4 linked regions of the Schizosaccharomyces pombe genome follow. The gene in region 4 interacts genetically with the main gene of each other region. Each region holds a gene or a part of one and is shown on either strand. Other genes may lie near its edges.

Evidence for each region.
Region 1: of mus7 (region 4) and swi3, a mutation in one rescues a mutant of the other (synthetic rescue), as found in Schizosaccharomyces pombe (one study listed by BioGRID).
Region 2: of mus7 (region 4) and top1, a mutation in one rescues a mutant of the other (synthetic rescue), as found in Schizosaccharomyces pombe (one study listed by BioGRID).
Region 3: mutations in mus7 (region 4) and rad13 impair growth when combined (synthetic growth defect), as found in Schizosaccharomyces pombe (one study listed by BioGRID).

Annotation. Positions count from the first base shown.
Region 1 is NC_003423.3:3,090,188-3,093,582, reverse strand, and holds swi3 (replication fork protection complex subunit Swi3), read left to right. Parts: upstream 1-1,726; 5' UTR 1,727-2,055; coding exon 2,056-2,222; exon of another isoform or gene 2,223-2,280; coding exon 2,281-2,659; 3' UTR 2,660-2,724; downstream 2,725-3,395. Other genes in the region: isn1 (IMP 5'-nucleotidase), read right to left, coding at 184-270, 321-1,243, 1,293-1,500; SPOM_SPBC30D10.05C (sepiapterin reductase), read right to left, coding at 2,843-3,395. UniProt on the Schizosaccharomyces pombe protein: Forms a fork protection complex (FPC) with swi1. FPC coordinates leading and lagging strand synthesis and moves with the replication fork. It is required for programmed fork-pausing which is necessary for mating-type switching.
Region 2 is NC_003423.3:2,941,016-2,946,458, forward strand, and holds top1 (DNA topoisomerase I), read right to left. Parts: upstream 3,582-5,443; 5' UTR 3,566-3,581; coding exon 3,553-3,565; exon of another isoform or gene 3,500-3,552; coding exon 3,399-3,499; exon of another isoform or gene 3,353-3,398; coding exon 1,022-3,352; 3' UTR 719-1,021; downstream 1-718. Other genes in the region: HOPS/CORVET complex subunit, vacuolar sorting protein Vps33, read right to left, coding at 4,151-4,920, 4,972-5,244, 5,285-5,443. UniProt on the Schizosaccharomyces pombe protein: Releases the supercoiling and torsional tension of DNA introduced during the DNA replication and transcription by transiently cleaving and rejoining one strand of the DNA duplex.
Region 3 is NC_003423.3:2,672,423-2,678,356, forward strand, and holds rad13 (DNA repair nuclease Rad13), read right to left. Parts: upstream 4,148-5,934; 5' UTR 3,936-4,147; coding exon 597-3,935; 3' UTR 568-596; downstream 1-567. Other genes in the region: SPOM_SPBC3E7.07C (uncharacterized protein), read right to left, coding at 31-85, 129-156, 218-229, 275-322; SPOM_SPBC3E7.09 (Sad1-UNC-like protein), read left to right, coding at 4,195-5,934. UniProt on the Schizosaccharomyces pombe protein: Single-stranded DNA endonuclease involved in excision repair of DNA damaged with UV light, bulky adducts, or cross-linking agents. Essential for the incision step of excision-repair.
Region 4 is NC_003424.3:2,407,976-2,415,800, forward strand, and holds mus7 (DNA repair protein Mus7/Mms22), read right to left. Parts: upstream 6,073-7,825; 5' UTR 5,996-6,072; coding exon 329-5,995; 3' UTR 161-328; downstream 1-160. Other genes in the region: HbrB family protein involved in TOR signaling Bit2, read right to left, coding at 6,254-7,162. UniProt on the Schizosaccharomyces pombe protein: Involved in protection against replication-dependent DNA damage. May act by restoring active replication forks, repairing unusual DNA structures, and/or preventing aberrant DNA rearrangement at arrested replication forks.

The sequences.
Region 1 (3,395 bases), on a different chromosome or scaffold from region 4:
TAAAATTAGCAAAGAAATTGATATCAAAAATCAAAGATTAACAATGTATTGAACGATCATATATCTTTTGATGTCAAAACGCTTATATGGGTATTCATTTTATAAGTATAGTATAGCATTGCTGAAGTATAAGAAGAATATTTACGAATGTGTTTGCAGTATAAGATCTCTCCTCTAATTAAATTACTTTTTTAAAAAAGAGAAATAATAATCTAAAAACTCAATCGTCTCGTGGGGGCTGGATACCCAAACAGTGGTAGCAGCAGCTCTCTTTGAATAGGTGGTTAGTAATCTTCAACAAAAGTTTATTTCAAACTTACCGCTTTATAATCATTGTTACCAGCTGACAAGAATTGATCACCAACATGCAGACAGCGAGAAGGATGGGAAATATTAAAAAAATGCTGAAGGCATAAAACACCCAATTTCTTGTCACCAATATCACACCAAATATCATTTCCACCATTGAAAGCAGTAAAAGGAACTGAGAAATTTCGTATCTGCAACGTTGCTTGTGTCTCCAAAACAGCTTCCTCCAGTTGCTCCCTTCTCAGTTTTTGACCAAGGGAAGGTACAAATCCAACTGATCTTTCTTTACGAACTATTTTTGCATCAATGTTAAGTCCTTGAATGCAAGAACGAAGAGTTTCTTCAGCAGTATCCAAAATTTCGAGAATCTCATCATGAGGCCATGTTTTCATCACGGGAAGCATCCATGAGTCAGCATCCACCCATTGTAAACCATGCAGTGGGTCATAAGCAAATAAGTAATTGCTCTCGCCTCCTAATACATGAAGTTTCCGTTTCTGCCCATCCTTCAAGTCGCTGTCTTCGATTGCCTGCAATAATCCTGAAAATCTATCAGTATACTCCTGGCCAGTACGACTGGGATAGCCAGCAGCAGTAAGAATGATGACATAGATCCCCCTCGAAAGTAACTGAATCAAACGGGATATAACAGGATTGTCAGGAAGCAAAGGCTGCCCATCTTCGTACAGAGTTACATCTCCATCAAAACTGACCATATCCAAGCCATTATCCGCAAGGTAATTCAATTGAGCACCTCCTAATATTGCCCTGACATCGTTAAAACTCGGTGCCACAAAGCTTCGTTTAGCTAGACAAAGCTTTGGTTCCAACGCGTACATAGCTTTCACTAATGGCAAAGGTGTCCAAAATATGGTGATCGATGGAACAAGCATCTTTAACTGGCTATAGGATCCACCTTCTGAAACTATTTGAACTATCAATGAGAAAGGTTAGAAAATTAAAAGAATGAAGGGGAAACTTACTATGAGCCTCAATAAGTTTTTCCACATCTCTTAAAATTACAGCGTAACGCTCAAGCGTTTCCTGCTCTTTTTCGCGCGTTACTAGTTTCTGTGAAGGGGTTCCTGCCTGTAAAACAAAAGGAACTGACAACAAACCTTTAATCCATTCAATAAAATCGTCCTTCCGATGTTGCTTTAACGCATACTCAACACGATATCTAGAAGCCATTGCCTAAACCTTTAATGACAAACACTTATTCAAAAAAAGAAATCTACACGAATGCAAGAAATTTGAAGGAAAGTATGTTAATTGAAAGAGAAAGGGTAAAAGTTGCTTTATTATGCTTTCCGAAACGATTCAAAAATGATTACGTTGAGAATTGTTATACTAGTATTAGCAGCGAGCACTATCACTCAAATACGTCTATCACAATTCCAAAAATTAGCTATAATTTATGAGCATTCTTAACAAAATTTTATAAAAGTATATAGTCCAGGTGTAACATGAGCCTTCTGAACTATTCTTCCTCTACACATTTCTAATCCGCGTTAAATAAGGAATTTTCTTTCATTAGTAAATTATAAACCTTTCTTGCTGCGCAGTTAAATTTGAAAGGTTCTATTCGCTTTTCATTAGCAGTAAAGTCAATAGTACATAGAAAAATTGCTAGATTAACAGAACTTTTGAAGCGAAACAGCAAGCAAATCGATATTTATTGCATTCACTAACTCTCTTTTGCGAAACATACAAGCAAATATATATTTTAAAAAAACACCATAAGAAATGTCTACAGCTGCTTCTGATTCAGGTGTTGAAAAACTCGTCGAGGAAAACAAAAGGGAAGAGGTGAAAAAGAATGAAGAAGAAAAAGAATTTGATTTAGGGTTAGAAGAAAATCCAGATTCTGTAAAAAAACCTCGCAAACGGTTGGCAAAATTTGATGAAGAAAGGTAAGAATTTGGTCGGTTTTCGGAAAATAATTATTGACCACTCGTTTTCCCTATTTAGATTGATTTCTGAAAATGGAATTCCAAAATTAAGGAAAATGATGCGCAAAGTTAAGTTAAAAGGAAAGGGTCATGAGGCAAAAGACTTAAAACAACTATTGGGAATGTATCATATATGGACTCATGAGTTATATCCAAGAGCCACGTTTGATGACTCAATATCGTATCTTAAAACTCTAGGAAAACACAGATCCGTCAAGGTTCGACGTCGTGGTTGGATTAATGAAATTGCTGTTGAAAATGGTTCGGACTCTAATGCTTCATTATTTACTGGTCCATCTTCCAATTCATTAGTGAATTTGACGAGCGGAGATCCATATGTTCAAGATACAGCTGATGATGCTTTTGTCGCCCAAGACAACGATACCCAATTAGAATAGTCACCATTAATGAATGATTGAGATGTTGTTGCAGCTTTGTTTATCAATATTAGTAATCATGATCATTTTTTGGGACTATTTTCAGCTACTTTTATTTGATGTAATGTTTAATTTATTCATTTTGTTTTATTTAAACGAACAATTGTAGCCTCTAACTCCGAAATTCAATAAACTATAGAACATCTAGACAAATGATTTCCATTCTACGAATTGACCAGTAAGCTTTGGATTGTTATTCAAGGCTAGAAAAGAAAGAGCTTTGGCGATGTCCTGAGGAGCCACAAGTTGACCGGATGTTTTAAGTTCTTTGAAAAAATTATGAGTATCTCCACCCATGGCTTCTTTATTGGAATCATTACGGATACTAACTTGCATAGGGGTATCAACAACTCCCGGACGTACTGCCACACTCATTATATCAGGCTCCTCGCTGCCAAGGTTCATGACTAGCATGTTGATGGCGGCCTTTGAGCAACAATATGCAGCCCACGCGGGAAAAACACGAACAGCAGCGCCAGAGGATACAATCACAATAGTACCCTTGGTTTTACGCAAATGCGGGATTGCATACTTCACTGTTTCAACCACACTGAAAAAGTTGATATCAAACAACTTACGCCATTCATTGATATCTGCATCAGCGATTTTGGCTATAGGTTCAAGGACACCTGCATTTAGAATAACCGAGTCCAATTTTCCAAACTTTTTAATAGCAGTTTCGATACTAGCTTTTCCA
Region 2 (5,443 bases), on a different chromosome or scaffold from region 4:
TCAACTGTTATGTTTCAAGATCCTTGATGACTACAAGCCTTTACAATCACAAGAAAAAAAACTTATCGTGAGTTCAAAGAACAAACCTTCGAGTTTGCGTTATAAACAGTTCTAAAAAATAAAAGAAAAAGAAATCTCCAACTAAGGCTATCTCCTATTGAGAAACTGCTAAAAATGAATATTTAGGAATCCGGTTGAGTAAATGTAGGTACTCGTAGAAGGTAGGATCCAAATGCTAGTGTGTTCATACTTTGTTTTACGTAATTTAATCTTTACCAACCCGATTGTATCCGCTCGTGGTTGCATTGGATTGCTCCAGCAAATAGTGAGACAAAATCTCTTCCACTGATATTTCTGCTATACCGGAACTTGTGCCAATCTGACAAAGAGAACGAAAAAGTGGAAACCGGGTTTAAAGATGCGAAAAAGGCAGTCAAATGTAAACGCTAGAGAAAAAAGTAATTTGGATGGTATAGAAGTGCTTGAAAAACTATTTAGTACAACCAAAGAAGAGTAATTGGTATAAAGATTAAAAAAGCAGCAGCTTGGCTTTTCTTTCCTTTTCTATTTGTAAAAAAAAAAAAACAAAAAAAAAATTGTTTACAAGAGTAAGTTTGCTTGTATATTGAATTTGATGATCGTAACAGGCATTTCACCAATATTAAAGAAAAAGACCTCAAGAGTAAACAGTAATTATGAAAAAAAAAGCCAAATGCAATGGGGATAGTATGAAATGTCACGTTCAATTTGTTTTGTGCTAAATTTTATTCTGTCTATATTTTTGCTGAAAAAACTTCCTTAGCTTTGCATTTTTTGTATGAATTTTTATTAAACACTAAACTAGAAGTAATTAATTCCTTCTTTCAGCACACTAAGTTGTTGTACGCTAGCATTCATTTCAAGACATCATTAAGTCACGAAATTACGAAGCACTTTCACAATTTGTCTGCCGTAGGATGATAATAAATAATTTTTTTTTAAAAAGTTCAATGAAAGATACTTTTCTTAAATCGTAGAGGACTTACCACTTCCAATCCGGAGGTGTATCAGCAGCCCAATTGAACTTGTCACGAATCGTCTTACTAAACAGCTTCTCAATAGGAACGTCTTCTCGCTTGCTGAACGAATAAGTAAGCCTCGGGTCTATGTAGTTAATCTTACTTGTACCCAAAGCAGTAGTTTTATTCTCGTCTTTATCGATCATCTGAGTACGCATAACATTAATTCGTTCATTGAGTTTGTTTAATCTTTTCTCAAGTTGTTCCATCGAAGAACGACCTGGATCGACTTTTTTGCTTTTAAGTTCAGCGTCCAGCGCTTTCTTCAACTCATCAGCCGCTTTCAATCGAACTTCCAATTCAGATTCCGGAAGCACTGATTTGGGATCCTCAGCAGCTAATTTTTCGTTCTCACGATCGAATTTCTTTTTTATTTTCTCTTTTTCTAGTTCGTAAAGTGTCTCGTGATGTTTTACGATCCATGAATCGGTAATGCCTTCTTCTTTAGCCAGCAATTCGGGCTTGCTTTTAGCAAGCTTGGGCTCTAAATTCAGCATCATTTTTCGCAGTCTCATCCGCTGGTATTGTAATGCCTTAATCCTTTCGGCAAACCGTTCCATTTGAACATCGTGATTTTTGGTTACGGAACGTTGATGATTACATAAAATTGCAACAGTCCTATTTGCCCTATTATAAAATAGTATTTTGTCTGCAAGGGTGAGGTTCTTAGGCATTTTCTTAAGTTCCTCGGCCATGGTGTATGAAGCATTGTAGGTACGAAATACTTTAGCTGAAAGTCCATCCATAAGGCTAGTCAGATATTTGTTAAGACTGTTTGTACTGAGACGGTCGAAAATTAAATCACCCTCTTTTTTGGGAGGACGTTTAAAGATCTTTAGATTTTTAAAAACTTGGGGATCAACTTCAACCTCGTTGTAGTAACGAATAGAATCTTTACCAAGAAAATCGAAAACGACTGTTCGTGGTGGCTTCAGTGTAACATGTTCATATCGCAGTGAACAACAACCAACAGTATCCGCCTCGTCTTCACCCTTTTCATTTCCTGCTCTTAAAGCAAAAACATCAATTAAATACATGGCAGTTCCTCTTTGACGCTCAACCGTTAACTCACTTTTCAAATCTTTCCGGTAGCCTTTACGGATATCATCAATATAATCCTTAAGCTTTCTTGACTTTTCGTATTTTTTTAAGTCACTCTGTCCTTTTAGAGAACTTCCTGCAGCTAAAAAGACATATTTGACATTATTATTTATATTTTCATGCCAGGTTGCCAACCAGGTCACTGTATTATCATGCTTTACCTCCGCCCATTGATGCCCAGGGAGTGGTTCTGGAACGGGTACACCTTCACCAATATTAATGGTAATTTGTTCAGGATATACTCGACGCTTTAAAGAACCAGTTTTAGGATGACTACCTCGACCACGAAATAACCCTGGAGGTTCAATACGAAAGTTACCAACCTTCTCCTTTCTCCCATCAAGTATGCACCATTTATATTTTTCCTCTTCCTCATCTTTTTTCTGCTTTATTGCCTTCTTCTGTTCCTTCGGCATACTCTTCTTCTCTTCCCTCTTTTGCTCAAAATGGTGAAACATTTGGGTAAAATCACATTTAGAAAACTCTTTAATGTTGTGATTAAAGTTACATTCATCACAGACCTTTAAGAAGTCACGGAAAAAATTATCTTGGAATACAGGATTTTTGGCATGATCGGTTTCAAGCATTGCAGCATAAAAACCAGCAACTTCTTCTGCTTCGGGAGGAAGATTTACGGGGTTTCCATCGTAAATTAGCTTGACGTTCTTTGGTAAAGGTTCATAGGGTGGAGCAAAAATTACACCATTATGCTCCAATGTAGTCCATTTTTGAGTATCATCGATATTTTCTGAAGTCCACCACTTGTAATCCTCATCTTCATCTTCCTCATCGTTTGGTGAGCGATTTTGCGTGGTCGAAGCTCCCGAAGGCAGTTCTGATTTGTAAGGAGTTAAAGATACAGTCGAAACAGCTCTCAATGGAACTGAATCATCTGTGTCACTTTCCTCTTTTTTAACAGCTGACTTCGCGCCATTTTTACTTCCATTCGCTTTAGAAACACGTTTATGCTTCGGTGAGGGCTTTGCAATTTCATTGAAATCCTCTTCCTCTTTTACAACCGCCGTTTTTTTTCCGTTTTTTAAACCACCATTTCCCATTACTTTAGCTCTTTTTTTAGAGCTTGAATTGGACATATTTTTCTTTGAAGAAGCACGTCTCTTTCTAATCGGTATATCATCCTCATCACTCTCGGATTTGGATTTCTTATTCAACGATTCACTAAGAGGATGATTCTAAACAATTAGTCAACAATCTTTAATTATTATGTTGTGAACATACTTCAGAACTATCACTCTCTTCGTCCGACTCCTTCATACTAATCCGTTTAGATGAACCGCGTCTTTGCCTCCTTCTAATGGATAAAGACACGGAATCTGAATCTTTTCAGTTGTTAAAAATTTTGCAAATGTTGTTAAATTACGTGAAACCTTACCAGACGAAGACATTGTGAATTGTTTGCATACATCTATAATACAGTAAAAGAAGGATTAATATTGAGTACGTACACTCGTTGTCATGACAACCAAATATTGACAATTAATGTTTGTAAAAATTAGTAGCTAAATGAGAAACTGGAATTTTCAAATAAAATAAAATTTAATGTTACGAAGCTTGCAGCAAAAAGCTATAAATGTGCATATTTCAAAATAAACCCATTAACAGTACGAGAAAAGTAATCTCTAATAATTTTGAAAGCTTTAACTTTACATTTATTGTAAACAATACCAAAAGCCACTGAATATCCAAAACAAAAAAAAGGTGATTTGATTGATACAATAAGCCATTAGCTGCCAAATATTGGAGGTTTATTATTTAATATGTAAGCTAATATTTTGGCAGTAAATAGCAAATAGCTTAACAGCATATAGGGAAAGCTTTAATGCCACTTCAAATTCATAAACTACTAAGGACTTAATAAAGTGGGTTAATAAAAAAAACAATAATTAAAATTATGGGATTCTCTTAGTGAAAAAAAATGAGATTAAATATCGTCTTTAGCTGTTGAACAAATTAATGAAACTGGGTGATCATCACTCATTCAAAGATTCAATATTTGGAATAAAAGCTCTTATTAGAGAGCTTCCAGTTACCATTCCCGTAGTCATAAATGTGAATTCATATAAATCTTCTTTTTCTTGCAATAAACGAAATGCAGCCAGCTCTGTGTACGTGCAACCACCGATGAAAAAAACTAAAACACGACGTTTACCTGGTACGTTTGTCTTCAAATTTTTAGGCATGACCTTTTCCTGGTCTAATGTCCACTTGTCAACGTAAGTTCCAGGCATATTTTGCAACTTAAGAATTTTTTCTTCATTGTCTCTGCCTTTTAAAATGTCATATGCTATGTGGACTGACAAAGGACCGTACCCGCTGTACGTATAGGCTATATCTTCAGGATTCTGCTCATCAACTTCGTCCTTAACCAAAGGATAAGTGTTTAACCATGTAGAATAAGACAATGATTTTTGAAGTGAAATATTAGTGGATTGCCGGAGGCGCAATAGTCCTGCATCTATCAAGGCTTGGAATGTTAAAAGGTGATAATAACCATATGTTTGAGTGATTTCCCTACGGTAATGATCTATATCTTTTCTTCTCAAACCATTGGTAGTTATACTTGCAAGGCAAAGTACTCGAAAAACCTCTTCAACAGGTGCTTCGGCATAGATAATTTCATCTAATAAATTGAATTGAGTAAAAGAATCGGCATGAGAAACTAGCAAATGCTGAAGTTGTAGTAGCTTTTGAAAGTAATTATTTTTTGTGTGTTGCACCAAAGTTTCAGCGAGACCAGTGTCTATCTAATTAATAAAATTTTTTATGGAAATCAAAAGAAAAAAATACTTACGAATATTTAATGATGTATGCTCCGATTGTAAGGAACCCAGTTTGGAAACGAAGTCTCTAATCTGATTTACAGTTTTGGCTTGACGTCGACCTTCAAAATCGCTGGATAGTTTTCGAGCAATTTTGCTTAAATAAGGGCCTATGCAATTAAAATTTATGTCTCTAATTTCCTTGGTAATTTGGCTGGAAGAAGAACTTAAAGAAAACTTTTTCATCGGTCCAGTATTTGAAGCTTCATTTCGGTTAACCAAGGATGAAGGAAGTTTGACATTCACTAATCAGTTAGATAAATAATAAACAAATATGAATCATACTTTGCTGAATTCCAAGTATTTCGTCCAAAAATCCAAAGTAGGTAAGTTGAGTCAAAAACGGTGTAATACGATCTAATGATCGATCAACTAAAAGAACGCTATCGTAGAGAGCAGAAATCTCTCCTTCCACCTTCCCAAAGTTTATTGTTGCTTCTTCCT
Region 3 (5,934 bases), on a different chromosome or scaffold from region 4:
TTTAAATTAAAGATGTAAATATATACTTACTTTGTCAGCTTTAACTCGCTTCCCTTGCGCATTTCCAAAAGACTCCAGTATATTTCTAAATTGTTATTTTTTATTCCATCATATTTTGCTCAACTTACGAGCCTGTTCAACAGCTTTTACTGCAAACTAAAATTTTTTAAATCAGTACATGCTTTACCAAAACTAAATACTTTCTACAACCACGTACCTGCATTTCAATCTAAAATCTGTAAGTATTATTAAATAAATAATAACCAAGGCTTACCTCGGCGGCATTTTCCGCATTTTCCGCATCAATTTTTGTACTTAACATTTCGAAAAATATTCTGTTTCTCCGTTTTTACTTTACTGCTGCTAAGTAGGTTGTAGTAGAAAGTGACATTAGGTAAGGTAACAAAGAGCAAGAAAAATTGTAAATAATCAAAACACGAATAAATCACAAAATATAAGCTATGTTGCTCAATTACTTTGTCTAAACACAGTTACAGCAGGAAAACTCAAAAAAATTTACTCAACAAAAAATTACAGTAACTTCTTTTATAGGAACAACCAGTTAAGTAAACAAATAAATAAATAATTTATTAAACTTATTTTCTTCTTCTTTTGCTGGGTTTTTTTAGTAAGCTAGTACTAAGCTTGGTTTTTCTAGGTAGATTCTCAATAGAAATTGAAGAAGAATTCGTCTTCGGAGTTAAACTTGCTAAAAAGTTATCTTCAGAGTCTGAATCTGAATCAGAGGAATTTTTGCTTGCCATCATTTTCTTCCTTCTAAGAATACGGCTTTGTAGTTCATCTGATCCTTTAGATTCACCAAATGCATCTGCGTCTGCCTGAATTTCTTCACTCATTGGGCTTTGATTGCTAATCTGATTTTTAAAAGATGAAAGAGCATTTTCAAGCCGTTTACTCTTAAAATGGTATGCAACTCTCGGCGCATATACATTAGTATTACCACCTTCAAAAAACTGAGTCAAATTGGACTGTGTACCCACGAATTGCTTTTTATGCATGTCTTGTATAACCGGAAGTAAAACTTCATTAGTTCGTTGTTTTGACCAACCCACAGTAGCCATCAAAAACTGGCGTAACTCGTCAAGGTCGGGTATGCCCCATTGAAACGATTGCTTGCTATCATCCACGGCCGGATGAAGATAAGCTTCATCAACTAACGGATTAGGAAATTCTGATGGTAAAATAATTTTTCCAACCAACTTGTTAATTCTCTTTTTTACTGGCGTATTAACATCATTTTTTGATGCGTGTCCAGTTGATAAACGTTGAAACCATTTTTTAAATTCAAAAAGTCCAGTGTCACCAGGAAATTCATGTAAAATCTCCAGTGCAAGAACTGGACCTACCCTAGAAAGTCCCATAGTATAATCACTTCCCAAAAGATGTGCCAACTTAATTAAATCCATTTGATTCACATTAAATTCTCTTTTCATATCATCCATTAAATAGAGTTCGACAAATTTGTTCTGATTAAACATATTTCGATATACCCGAGTTCCACCAAAAAGAAACACGTCTGAGTCATCAGTAACAATCCCATCAACCAGCTTTAGCTCCAAAAGTTTAGAACACTGGGCTTCTGCTTCTTGAGGAGCAACGATATATGGTAAGCCAAATAAACGCAGAAGTTCTTGACATTCTTTAATCATTACTTGAGTGACCTCATCCGCATCACGTTTTTCAGACCTTTTTTGATTTTTGAGCTCTTTCAACCTTTTTTCAAAGGCCTCTTGATTCCACTCTTCAGTTTCATGTCGTTGATTGAGTTCTGAAACAAACCGATCATATTCCTTTTCTTCTTCTGCCATCCTGATAATCATTTCCTCTTCTTCCTCATCTAAAAGTTTTTCAACCACTTCAGGCTCTACTTTCGAACTCAAGGCAGCAGCTCCTTTATTTGGAGAGGCTTCTTTTTGAAAGTCAGTTGGAATGCTAAGTGAAGGGCTGCTGGTCTCTAAAGTAGGAAGAACAGCGTCAATTGATTCGGATTTGATATCCCCAGTATCCTTAGCATTTTCGGAGCTCAATAAATACACTGACATGGCCTTATCACTAGAAACATTTAATGGGTTGGTAACTGTGCCATCATCAGCTTGTTCTTTCATATTCTCAAAGGGTTCCAAAGGATTGAGTTCACGTAAGTCTAAATCTTTTTCATCATCTTTTACCGGAAGAAGAGGTGAAATAATTGGATTTTCAATTCCAGGTTTAGCAGCGTCTAAATCGGATTCAATATTAACTGTTGCATTAATAGTATGTAAATTTGTATCTTCCACAAGTTTAGAATTATCCGGTGCCTCACTTGGTATATCAGTTTTAGAATCCATAAATGTTTCAGTTGGTTTCTTTAATTTCTCGAAAAAAATAGACTTTCCCCAATCCATAGGCTGAAAAGGTAAAGGATCAATTAAATCATTGGTTTTTTTCTCTCTACTCGCAGATGGAAGGGCATCCATAAAAATTGAAGTCCCATTTTCAGGATGCTTTTTTTCCGCGAATGCTAATGAATCATTGGAAACATCTCCAACATGTTCAAGTTTCAAATTTTCCTCGTCGTTAAGAAGTGAATTCATTGAATCCTCTGCAGGAATATCGGTCGACAAAATTTCAAACGTCTTTTTCTCGCTATTCAACTTATCAAACTCAGAAGCCGAAAGACTAAACAGCTCTTTTGATTTTTTGTTTTCCTCTAGAGATTGCTGGGTTGCTAATTGAAGTATTAAATCATCAGTAACATTATAATCTGCTTCATCTGATTGCTGATTTTCCGAAAATGAATTTTCTTTTATTTCCTTTAATTTAGCGGCTACCAATTCTCTAGGGTTCATGCTATGAGATCGGCTAGGTAAAGGCACATCGTAGAATGCCTCATCCTCGTCTTCGTCTATAAGATTGCTGCTAAGTTTTGTAGCCTCATCATCAATAATAATAGGTTCATTGTTTGTAGATCCTGAGATAACACCGAGAGCCCATCCACCTTCAGCACCTTCGTTTTTTACTAAAATATATTCTCGGTTTTTTTCACTTACTACTCTAGAGGGTCCAAACTCATTCATTCCAGTAAAGTCCATTAATCTCTGAGTTAAATCGTTACGTTCCTTCAGTCTCTCAATTTGAAAACGAGAGAAATCCATTCTATTAGGAAACATCTCGGAAAGTTGTTCAGAGCTTAAACCCATTCGTAAACGAGAGCGTAATCTTGCTGCACTTAAAATACTATATTTATCCGTATCGGGTAATGATTGAAATAATTCAGAGTCAAAATCAATATTTGAAAAATCAAATAAATTTATATCTTCAATTTTAGTAAAACTAGAGACATATTGTGTAAGCTCATCCTGGGACATAATTCGAGGGTCGTAACTCGACCCTAACTTATCAAACGAAACGTCCATTTCAGGTAGTTGGTATGGATCAGGCTTCAAATAATTTTTTCTTTGATTAAGTACTGGCTTAATTTCTGAATTATCCAATGTCATAGATGAAGGCATTTGTCTCTCATTTTGAACCGAGGCATTTGCCAATGCAGTAGCTTTTTTATTATTTTCCTCTAAAAGCATTGCCTGATGCCTCATTTGCAAAGCCAGAAGTTTATTGGCCGTGACCGTGGCATTTTCCTCCCTGTCGAGTCTTCTGGCTTGTCTTTTTTGGATAGTTTGGCGTTTCAATGACGGCGCTCCTCCATCAAAAACAAATACAGGTTTAATCCCAAAAAATAATAGTTTGCATATCCTTCTAAAAAATCCTACAACATGACTGCTTTTCAGCTGGTTTCCTTCTTTGTCACGTACGGCCTTTAAGAATTGATAAATCCAAATTGAAGCGTCAATTGCCAACCGTTTGTTAACAAGTGTTTCTAGCTTGACAGGCCTTTTTACCGGTTCTAAAATATCCCAAAGACCTGAAACCCCCATTGCAAAATATTATATGCGATGTCAAGAAGTTTCGTTGTAGACGACTTTATTTTTGATTATTATACGAAGAAATGTGATTAAAGCAAGCCTTTTTCTTTACCCTTTTTCTTCTTTTTTAATTAAAATCGTTATAAAAGACATGTTTTACCAACAAAGCGATAAAACAAGGGCATGTGCGATGATTGATGCTAACACTTTAGTGTGTGGCACTTGACTTGAGCCAATTACCACATTAAACTGATAGGGCTGCCTAAATCATATGGTCAAAAGAAGATTGTCTGCATTTGGAAATGCCTTTTTAATTTATTTTATTATATTTCGGTTATGCTGCTGCTCTCCACAAACGAGTCATTGGTGTAAATATCCGGCATTGTGTTTGAAGTCACCAGATACGCATAACGAAAATTTGGTATGTGATGCGTACCTTTCTGTGATTGCTACCAAATCTGAAGAAAAAGAAGCTAGCAACCCTACAACATGGGATTTCACTCCCACAAATAAGTACCAGGAACCTTCGTTTCACACAAAAACGAGTTTGAATGGAAGTGATACCATTTCTTCTAATTTTTTGTCAAAATATGAATATTCCAATGGAACAAGTACTAGCGAATTTATAGATTCAATTAGCCCACCATTGGTGAACGAGACGTCTACAATTTCATCCTCAAAGAAGCTAGAGCAAAACTATTCTGTAACGGAAGTTATTGATACTAATATTATTACTAGTTCTTCGGTTACTCTACCAATTTCTGAGGATGGTTCCTCTACTTCAGCAGCAGCTACAATTGATTCAAATATAGATGAAAAGACTGTTGCATTCTCAGAAGAAAAAAGATTCAACTTTGCTTCAACTGACTGCGCTGCTGCTGTCATTAAAACAAATCCTGAAGCAGTCGGATCTTCTTCGATTCTGACCGAAAACAAAGACAAATATATGCTGAACAAATGTTCCGCTGAAAACAAGTTCGTGGTAATTGAACTTTGTGAGGATATTTATGTCGATACAGTTCAAATTGCCAACTTCGAATTTTTTTCAAGTATATTTCGTGATTTCAAGGTCAGTGTAAGCGGTAAATATCCAAAATACGAGTCTTCTTGGATGGAATTGGGTACATTTACGGCCTTAAACCTAAGGACTCTTCAATCTTTTCATATTGAGAACCCTCTTATTTGGGCGAAGTATCTTAAAATAGAGTTTTTAACTCATTATGGGTCAGAATTTTATTGTCCTGTAAGCCTACTTAGGGTTTATGGAAAAACTATGATAGAAGAATTTGAAGAAGCAAATGAAGACTTCTTAGAACAAAAAGTGAACGACGGAAGCGCTATTAAAGCAGATGAAATCCGGAAGCCTCAAGAAAGTCCTATTTTTGTGGACGAAGAAGATACCGATGTTCAAAGCAAACCAGTGAGAAAGAATCCATCAGTCGAGTTGAATAGTACAGACACCTTACTTTCTTCTACTGTGATATCTAAGTCTTTGAGCACTGTTGTTATAGGAAATGAAACAGGAAAAAGTGAATCATATCCTGCAACATCAACTCGCTCTTTTAACGATATTTCTCCATCTTCTTCATCTTCTTACAGTACCGCTCAAATATCTACCTTTCCTTCTAATCAGGAAAGCATTTACAAAAACATAAATAAGCGTCTTTCTACCTTAGAAGAACGGAAGAAGGCATTTGATGAAATTGTAGAAAAAATATTAACAAATTATGGTAAGCACAATGCCAAAAACATGAATTTTACGCAGCTATTACATGAATTGAACTCGACCCTTCAATTAGAAATTTCGAAATTGTCGAAAAGTGTCGTTAAGCCGTCTTTGTTTGCTCTCCAAGCTAAACTTGAGCTTCTTTCTGCAGAAAATGAATACTTTCAGAGTCAAATTACTTCACTATATCAAGAATCATCTTTTCAAAAGCGACTTTTAATGCTTCAACTCACGGTTCTAATCGTTTTAACAGTGTATATGGCCGTATCGAGGCTTCCAGAAAAT
Region 4 (7,825 bases):
TTAGGTTAGAAGTATTTTTGATCAGATGGCTTATAATAGAAATACATTATATTTTACTGGTCAAATTAGACCACAGTCATGTGATAATAAAATTACGTACATTAATGGATGTACTAGTAGCAAAAAAAAAGAGCTCTAAGCAAAAGAAATATGCAGAACTGGATTATTTCATTGTCTAATTATTTTGTATACAACAAGAGATAATTAATAAATGAGTTTGTGTATTACACAGACATCAAATGAAATATTAAAAATAAATAAAATAAATAAAATAAACAACGTGGAAACCAAAAGCAACCACAACTGAAAAATCTTTTAATTTTGGCTTTTAAAACAATACAATATCAAAATCATTCTCTTCAGTCATCCAAGAATAGCCGATTTTATCCAAAAAGCATTTGATTTTTGTCGGTAACCCACTCATGTCAGGTGCATAACTGCAAATTACATTGAGAAACCTATCTAATTCAGGCTCTAAAAAACCTTTATCGTGTTTCCATATTTGAATAGTAACTTCCATTAAACCTGACCAGTATTCTTCTTCCTGTTCCACCTGAGAAGGCAAAACTAGTTTTTTCTTCCTAGACTTATGTACAATATTGGTAACGTTGTCGTACCAATCCGCTGAGCAATGTTGCTGAATAGTTTTAACAAATTTGCTACGACAATCAACAGTATTGTAAGGAGGGGGAAACTCAGACCCTTCAATATTCCAACATAATTCAAGAAGGAAGTCTCGAGCTATGCGAGCTAAAAAATTCTGTAAGTTACATATTAAACTAGATGGCAATCCACTGGTTTTGTTTGTCATGCTTATAGCCACAAATGAAGAAATAAGGTAATATATTCTCCCAGAAAGTAAAGGGCGTTTGTTTTCATATAATAAAGCATATTTCTCTAAATCAGCCACAAAAACAGAAATTTCTTCACACAGTAACTGTTGAATGTAAGGTTGCAAATATATACGTCTAAAGCTGTTGTAAGTTCGGCTTAGACCCTCCAGTAGTAACAATGAATAAAACATAGCTGCTAACGAGCCTTCACCAAGGTAACTCAATAAAAGTTCCTTTACACAAAATTTCCGAAGAGAAGAAATCTCGACATCCCATTTGCTGGAGCTATTTTGATTATGGAATCCCATAGCCAGCCTTAAAAGATTAGAAGTTTCAGTTTGCTTTTGTTCTAGCAGAGCAACATCAAAATTTGCTTTTAGGAAACTAAACAAAGCATTTTGAGAAGCTGAATTTGTGAGAGTTTTTCTCGCATAACTTCGTAACCTCAAGGCCGTATATTCGAGACGCTCCGGTGGTTGGGGGAACTTAGTTGAGTCCATAAAATATCTGAGGGCAGGAAGGTTACGATCATTTGCAAATTGACTACAATACTGTAAAATGTCTCCGACAACACGTTGTGAATTAATAACAAACAAAGAGTGAGTATCAGAAGAATGACCATTTGTCTCATAACTATGCTGCATAGAAGACAGTAGAGAGGATAGGTAATGAATAAACAAGCTCTGTAAATATTGAGAGCTCGCGAAACCATTTGTCTTGGCATCAGCATACAGTTTTGCCATGTTGCAAAACACAGCTGTTAATAAATTCAAGTGAACCGACTTAAAGTAATTTATACTAATTTCCTCAATTTTGACGGATATCGGTAAATTAAGCAAAATAGGATTTTTTAGGTTTTTCTGTAATAACAAAATCGTAAATTGTGCAGCATGATCCTCATCTAAAGCGCCCAGTGATTCAAACCATACAGTTAAGACTTTTTCCTCATGTTTTTTAATAAAAGAATCATTATAAGATATAAGGAAGGAATAAAACGTGGTACTGAGAGATCTTTTCAAAGGAGTGTTACGAATCCTTTCCCAAGACTCAGACCCAAAATCGATATAGTAACTCCAGTCATTGATTTTCGCTTCTACAGCAAAACTAGCACAAATTGCCATGCACTCCATTAATGGTAAAAGTAAAATACGAATATAATTTTCTTTGTCCTCGTCATTTCCAACGAGATAAGATATCGTTTGATACAAAAAGGGTGAAACAAATGTTCTCAATATTTGAGCCACTTCGTATTTACGTTCAAACTTTTCTTGTTCTAAAATGAGTGTGTTATCATCCAGCACATCAGAATCAAAGTAAGCATCTTGACTATCATGCGAAGTGCTACCAACAACGGTAACCTTAGGTGGCTCTGTATTAGATTGATACTGCAAAAACTTTTTTAGAAATAAAATACACTCCAGAGTAACGCGAGGAGGAAAAAAATGAGAGTCTTTAAGAATGCGCCGGCATGACTGCTCCGTCACCAAAACGTTTATCCTACTAATATAAACTGAAGAATTGGGAATTAAATCTTGAAGGGAATGGAAAGCTACAATTAGCGCATTTTCAAGTTGATGTTTCGAGTATTCAGCCAATTGCATCTCACCAACAGAAGTTCCATTTGAAAAGAGAGCAAGATATTCATCAAATGTAACTTTTAAAATGGAATTAAACCACTCCATTCCCTGAGCGAGTTCATAATCAGTTCCCTCTTTTATCACATACTTCATTAGGTGAAGCCATGCTTTTAGACTAATTAAACGTGCCTTAAGATGAGAATTATCGACGATTACAATATCCCTAATGCGATTTAAACTGGGCCTACAATTCTCGGGTGCTGCCCAATAAAGACAAATAAGAAGAGTGTGAGTATGTTCCAAAGACATAAAGTCCTTAATTGAGAATGGACTTTCTCGCGTGTATTGACGTGAATGTAAGGGCTGTAATCTGGATACTATCCTCTTGATTGAATTTGTATTTTCATCTACTTGCCTCAAACGGCTTATAGAAATTAAAATAACTTTTAAATAAATTACAAAACATGTATCAAGAGCAGTTACATGAAGATTTGGAGGTCTGTCAAGTGACTTAACAAAATCAGGAAAGTCAGTTGGTGTATCTTCAGATATTTCAGAAGAAAGGTCATTAAACTTTCTATGGCTAAAGAAATCGAATATCAAAAATAGGATTTGAGCCACATCCTCCCAACGCCATTCAGATATGAGAAAATGAATTCGAAGAAACACTGTGCGAAGGTATCGCTCAACCACTTTAACATTGTGTCCGTCCTTATGCATTTTAAATGCACTTTCTGAAACTCTGATTATCAGTGGCCAAAAACTATTGTTTCCTGGTGAATGAGTCGTTCCATTAAGCCCAATTTGGAAAACGGGATTGAGCGTCATTATAACATACCAAATTTTTTCCATTTCTAATATAGACAACTCCTTTTTTTGAAGATCAAAAAATGAATTCACCTGTTCCCACAAAGCATATTTCTTCTTATATACATGAAAAAGAATATGATTTAAAATTGACCAAGATTCCAAAAAAAGAGTGTCAATTACAGTCGTATCTGAAGCTTGAATTCTCAAATTCCGATAACATTCCAATAGACCAGATTGACCAGCAGAAAGAAGTTTTGAAATCAAATCACTTGCCAGCCAGGAAACTTTATTAATGTTTTGCTGATTTCCAAGTTCAAATTCACAATAAAATACAACTTGAAAAGTTTGAAACAACACAGCTATTTTTTCAACCAATTGTGATCTATTCAACCCCGATATAGAAGAAACACGATCATTGACTAATGCATAGGTTTCTAAAAAGGAGGAAGCCAAGTTAACCAAGCCCATTGATACTTGAGAATGAAGAATAAACGCAGAGCAAAAAGAAAGTAGATTGTACAAGTCAACAGTTTCAGAGTTTGTAAAGTATGGAAGATTTTCTAAGACTGTCTCAAAAGTGTCTTTTAATTTTTCGAATGTTTTAAAAACATCATCCTGGATATTGAATAAACAAGAAAAAGCATAAACAGACTTAAAAGGATGTGTGACGATGTCCAATTGAAGAATAGAATTTAACCCTTGGGTTTTTATAAAGGAGTTGTTGGGCAAACTAAGTCCCGGTCTAAAAGTTATGACATTAAATGTAGTAGACCAAATACCTATATTCCAAAAAGGATTTACATCTGTAAAATAATTAGGGTTTGAAGAGGATTGAAAAAAGACGGTGTCAAAATCGTCTCGTATAAATCGTTGAGCCTTCTGCTTTCTTGAAGACTTGCGGATCTCAGTATTTACTTGGGGTACAGCTAAAGTCCCCTCATAACAATCATGTTCTCTTTCCTTTGAGTTTAATTCAATATTGTCCCTAATGTAATGGTCTAATTTGGCAACTTTTTGGCATTTGTCATGTACTGTATGAGTCCTTTTTAACTTTTTGGATTTTTTGTATGAAACGTTATTAGAAAAAAGAGAAGAAAATAGCTTTCTTTTTTTTAAGAGTTCCTCGCTAAAATTTTGAAGATGACTCAAACCGTTATTTGCTGCTGTTTTAGCGTTAATATTTACACTATGCTTTTTAGAATTAACAGAAAAAATATTTCCACCAACTGACTTAGAATCTGAAGGCTTTTTGTAAGAATGAGATTGTTGAACAAGCTCATGTTTACCTGAATACCAATCAGAAAGAACTTGATCAATAACTTGGCGATCGGATTCTTTGTCGAAGGAAAAATACTTTTTGGAATCCATTTGTCTTTTTCTTCTAATCATTTTTGGAATATGAGATGAACTTCGAGCAAACACCCTCAAAAACTTTGGCGCCTTTTTCCCATACGATTCAAGGATAAGGTCTGGTAATTTTTCCACTTCGACATATTTAAATCTATTTTTTTTCATTTTGGTTTTAGTTGTGCGATAGACAGGAATAGTAGAAACAGCATTGGCTGCTACATTTAGCTGAAAGGGGTTTTCCGACGTCAAAGAACTTGATTTTTTAAGAGCGGATAAACTTCTTTTAGGAAGCCATAATTGATCAACCACATCTTCTTTCAACCAGCCATTATCACGAGAAATTGAATCTAAAAACTCGCTGGTGTCAAACCGTGAATCATCAGTTGGTGTTGGCGTAGAAATGCTATTGTCAGAATCCGATATTTCGTTTCCTAATTCACTAGATAGTTTAGCTGTCGATCTAGGATGCAACTTCCGTCGAGCCACACCTTTTATTTTTTCTCCCTCAATAACACTCTTGTGTAATGATGTCTTTTTTTTGACACCTCTATTTTCCAATTTTTTTTTTTCTTGAAGAGTTAGAAATGATGGTGGTAAAACTCCTCGTAATCTTTTCTTTAAAGTTTTCAAATTCAGATCACTCACAGTAGAATTCGATGAGATATTTGTCATAGACTGATCCGAATCGGAAAGTAAAGACTCAGATTCTAAAGCCTCTTTGCTAGTTGAGGTTTTCTTTCCTTCAATAGTAGACGACAATGCGAGGTCATTGTCAGCTGTATTCAGATTAGATTCCTTTGAATGATCTTGCTCAGTATTAGACTCATCATCATCGCTATCAGATATTACAGCTCCATACCTTCTAAAGCGATGAGTAGAGGTCAAGGGTGGTTTACGTGAAGAAGCACGATTACGAACTATAACATTTACAGGTTTATGAGAGGACTTAGAAGTAATAGATCGATCAGAAGAAAAACCATGCGGTACGGTGATGGGTACCAAGCCTATTCTTTTAAACTCTATTTGATGCCTTAAGAAATCGTAAGTATAAGGCCGGGTTTGCTCAGGACGTCTAGGGCGAAAATCTCTTTTAACAACAACCGCTTCGTGTTCGGCATCTTTTTTAAAAACCTCAGTTCGTTTGTTTTCTTCTTCCCTCTTTGTTTCAGCTAAATTTTGATCACTTTTTTCAAAAGAAACATTCCTATTCAATTCGGGCAATGAAGACACCGATGACTTTGTAGAACCGATGGTGGTTTCATTGTTCAGAATTTCTAGCTTATTTTGATTTTTTTCTTTAGTAGCCGGCGTAATTCCATCGTATTCATTTCCACGTTGTGAAATTAAAGACCCATGAGTATTTGACCATTCACTTCCAGAATCCTGAGAGTCAGACACATGGTCAAGTAAAAGGAAACTATTCATCCTACAAACCCATGGGAAAGATGGTATTACATAAGAGGGCTTAGAAGAGTTCTTTCGATTTTAAAAAGTGTCTATATGGAGGTCCTGTTGCATACTCCAGTTAGCAAAATAGAAACACCATTGAGTAACAAGGAATAGGTAACATTATTAAATACCTAACAAAAGCCGCAAATATTAAAAGATAAATTGCTTAAATGGGCTTTAAAAACAAATATTGAAAGTATAAAAAGTCTATCTTCTATTAAAACATATTAAATTTCAGACATATAAAAATTTTAAAGTCAGTTCGTTTAGCCAGTTCATTAGAAGATCTTCGGATTCATCTTGTGGCTTTATGAGAGAAATAATGGAAATCATCTGGACGAGTAAAATCTGCTGCTGAGTATTCAATTGAGGAATTTCAATGAATCGATTTGTCTTTTTCAGCTTTGGCATTACAACAAATTTACGAAACACCCAAATAGAAAACAGTTTCAAATCTATATTAGCACTCTTTTTTAACCAGTACGTTTTCATGGGCTCTTCAAATAATTGAGCAATCTCAAATTTTGCAAAAGTAACAGGCAAAAACGTAGCTTCGATATACGGCAATATTTCTAAATAAAAAATCGACCACACCTCAACAAGATAGTGTAGAAAGGAAGACTCATTGCTATTCATACCCAGCAATGAAATGTCAATTATCAGTCCAATTCGCATATTTCCCAAAAGCTCTTCAAAATCGCTTATTGCTTCGCAAGCGCATATACACCGCAGCACTAAAAAATTTAAATCTTCGATAATAACCTTTTTTTTCCAATTCTTCTTATCCTGTTCGGTGTAACGATGTTGCGGAAATATTGGTCTCATAGCAATGTTTAATTGTTTCCACGCTACCAACACAGTTAGCGGTCTTAGTTTATCAATTGCAGTTAATCGATGCGACATTTTATATCGCTTGAGAATAGAGAGTTTTCCCTTGTCAATAGATGGATGAGAGACTAGAGATCCATTAGAAACGATTGAAGCATCAGATATCGTCTTCCTTCTTTTTTTTTTAGACTTTACCGAATCTAAGTTAGATGTAGTGGTTCGATTTTCATCATTGTGAAACAAAAAAAAACAAGGGCATTGAACTTTGATAGTCGTTAACCCTAAATAAATTTTCCATTTATCCCTCAATTTCATTTCTAGCTTTTTTAAATATTAGACAATGGTAGATTTTAAAAGTTGAAATTCGTTGTTTGCATTTCTGTATCGCAGGCGTAAGTTACGTCAATAGATTCAATTACTCTATAAAAAATAAGCTTAATTTAACGAACTTGACAAAGGCTATATTTAATAACATGCGTCACGCACACTAAATAAATAATACAAAATATGAAACAGTATCACGTTAATTTTCGGATTTCTATTTTTCCAAGGTCCATTGTCGATGACTAAGTTTCTTTATTTCATGAACTTTTTTTTAAAGCCAATTTGAGCATATGCTACACCAAAAAAATGTGTATGGTCGATTTCCATGGCTCAAAGTTGTGAATATATTCATCGCTTTTGTAATACCTGCAATTCTACTATATGTTATGCTACATTATGCTTGTCTATCGCTAAATATCATATGTTAGAATATTAGCTAAGGTGTTTTTATTGGTAATTGAGAATAACTATTCTGTATACAAAAATACCCGCTGGTAACATCTATTAGATAATTACGAATAGAAGCTATAACTGAACTGAGGAACGAGGTTCAGCTGTAGGCAATATTAGTGATGGCTAAAAATGTAATCATATAGAATACTAATAACAAGTTGCTACTTACATTACCAGTATAGTGCAATATAATAGATAACA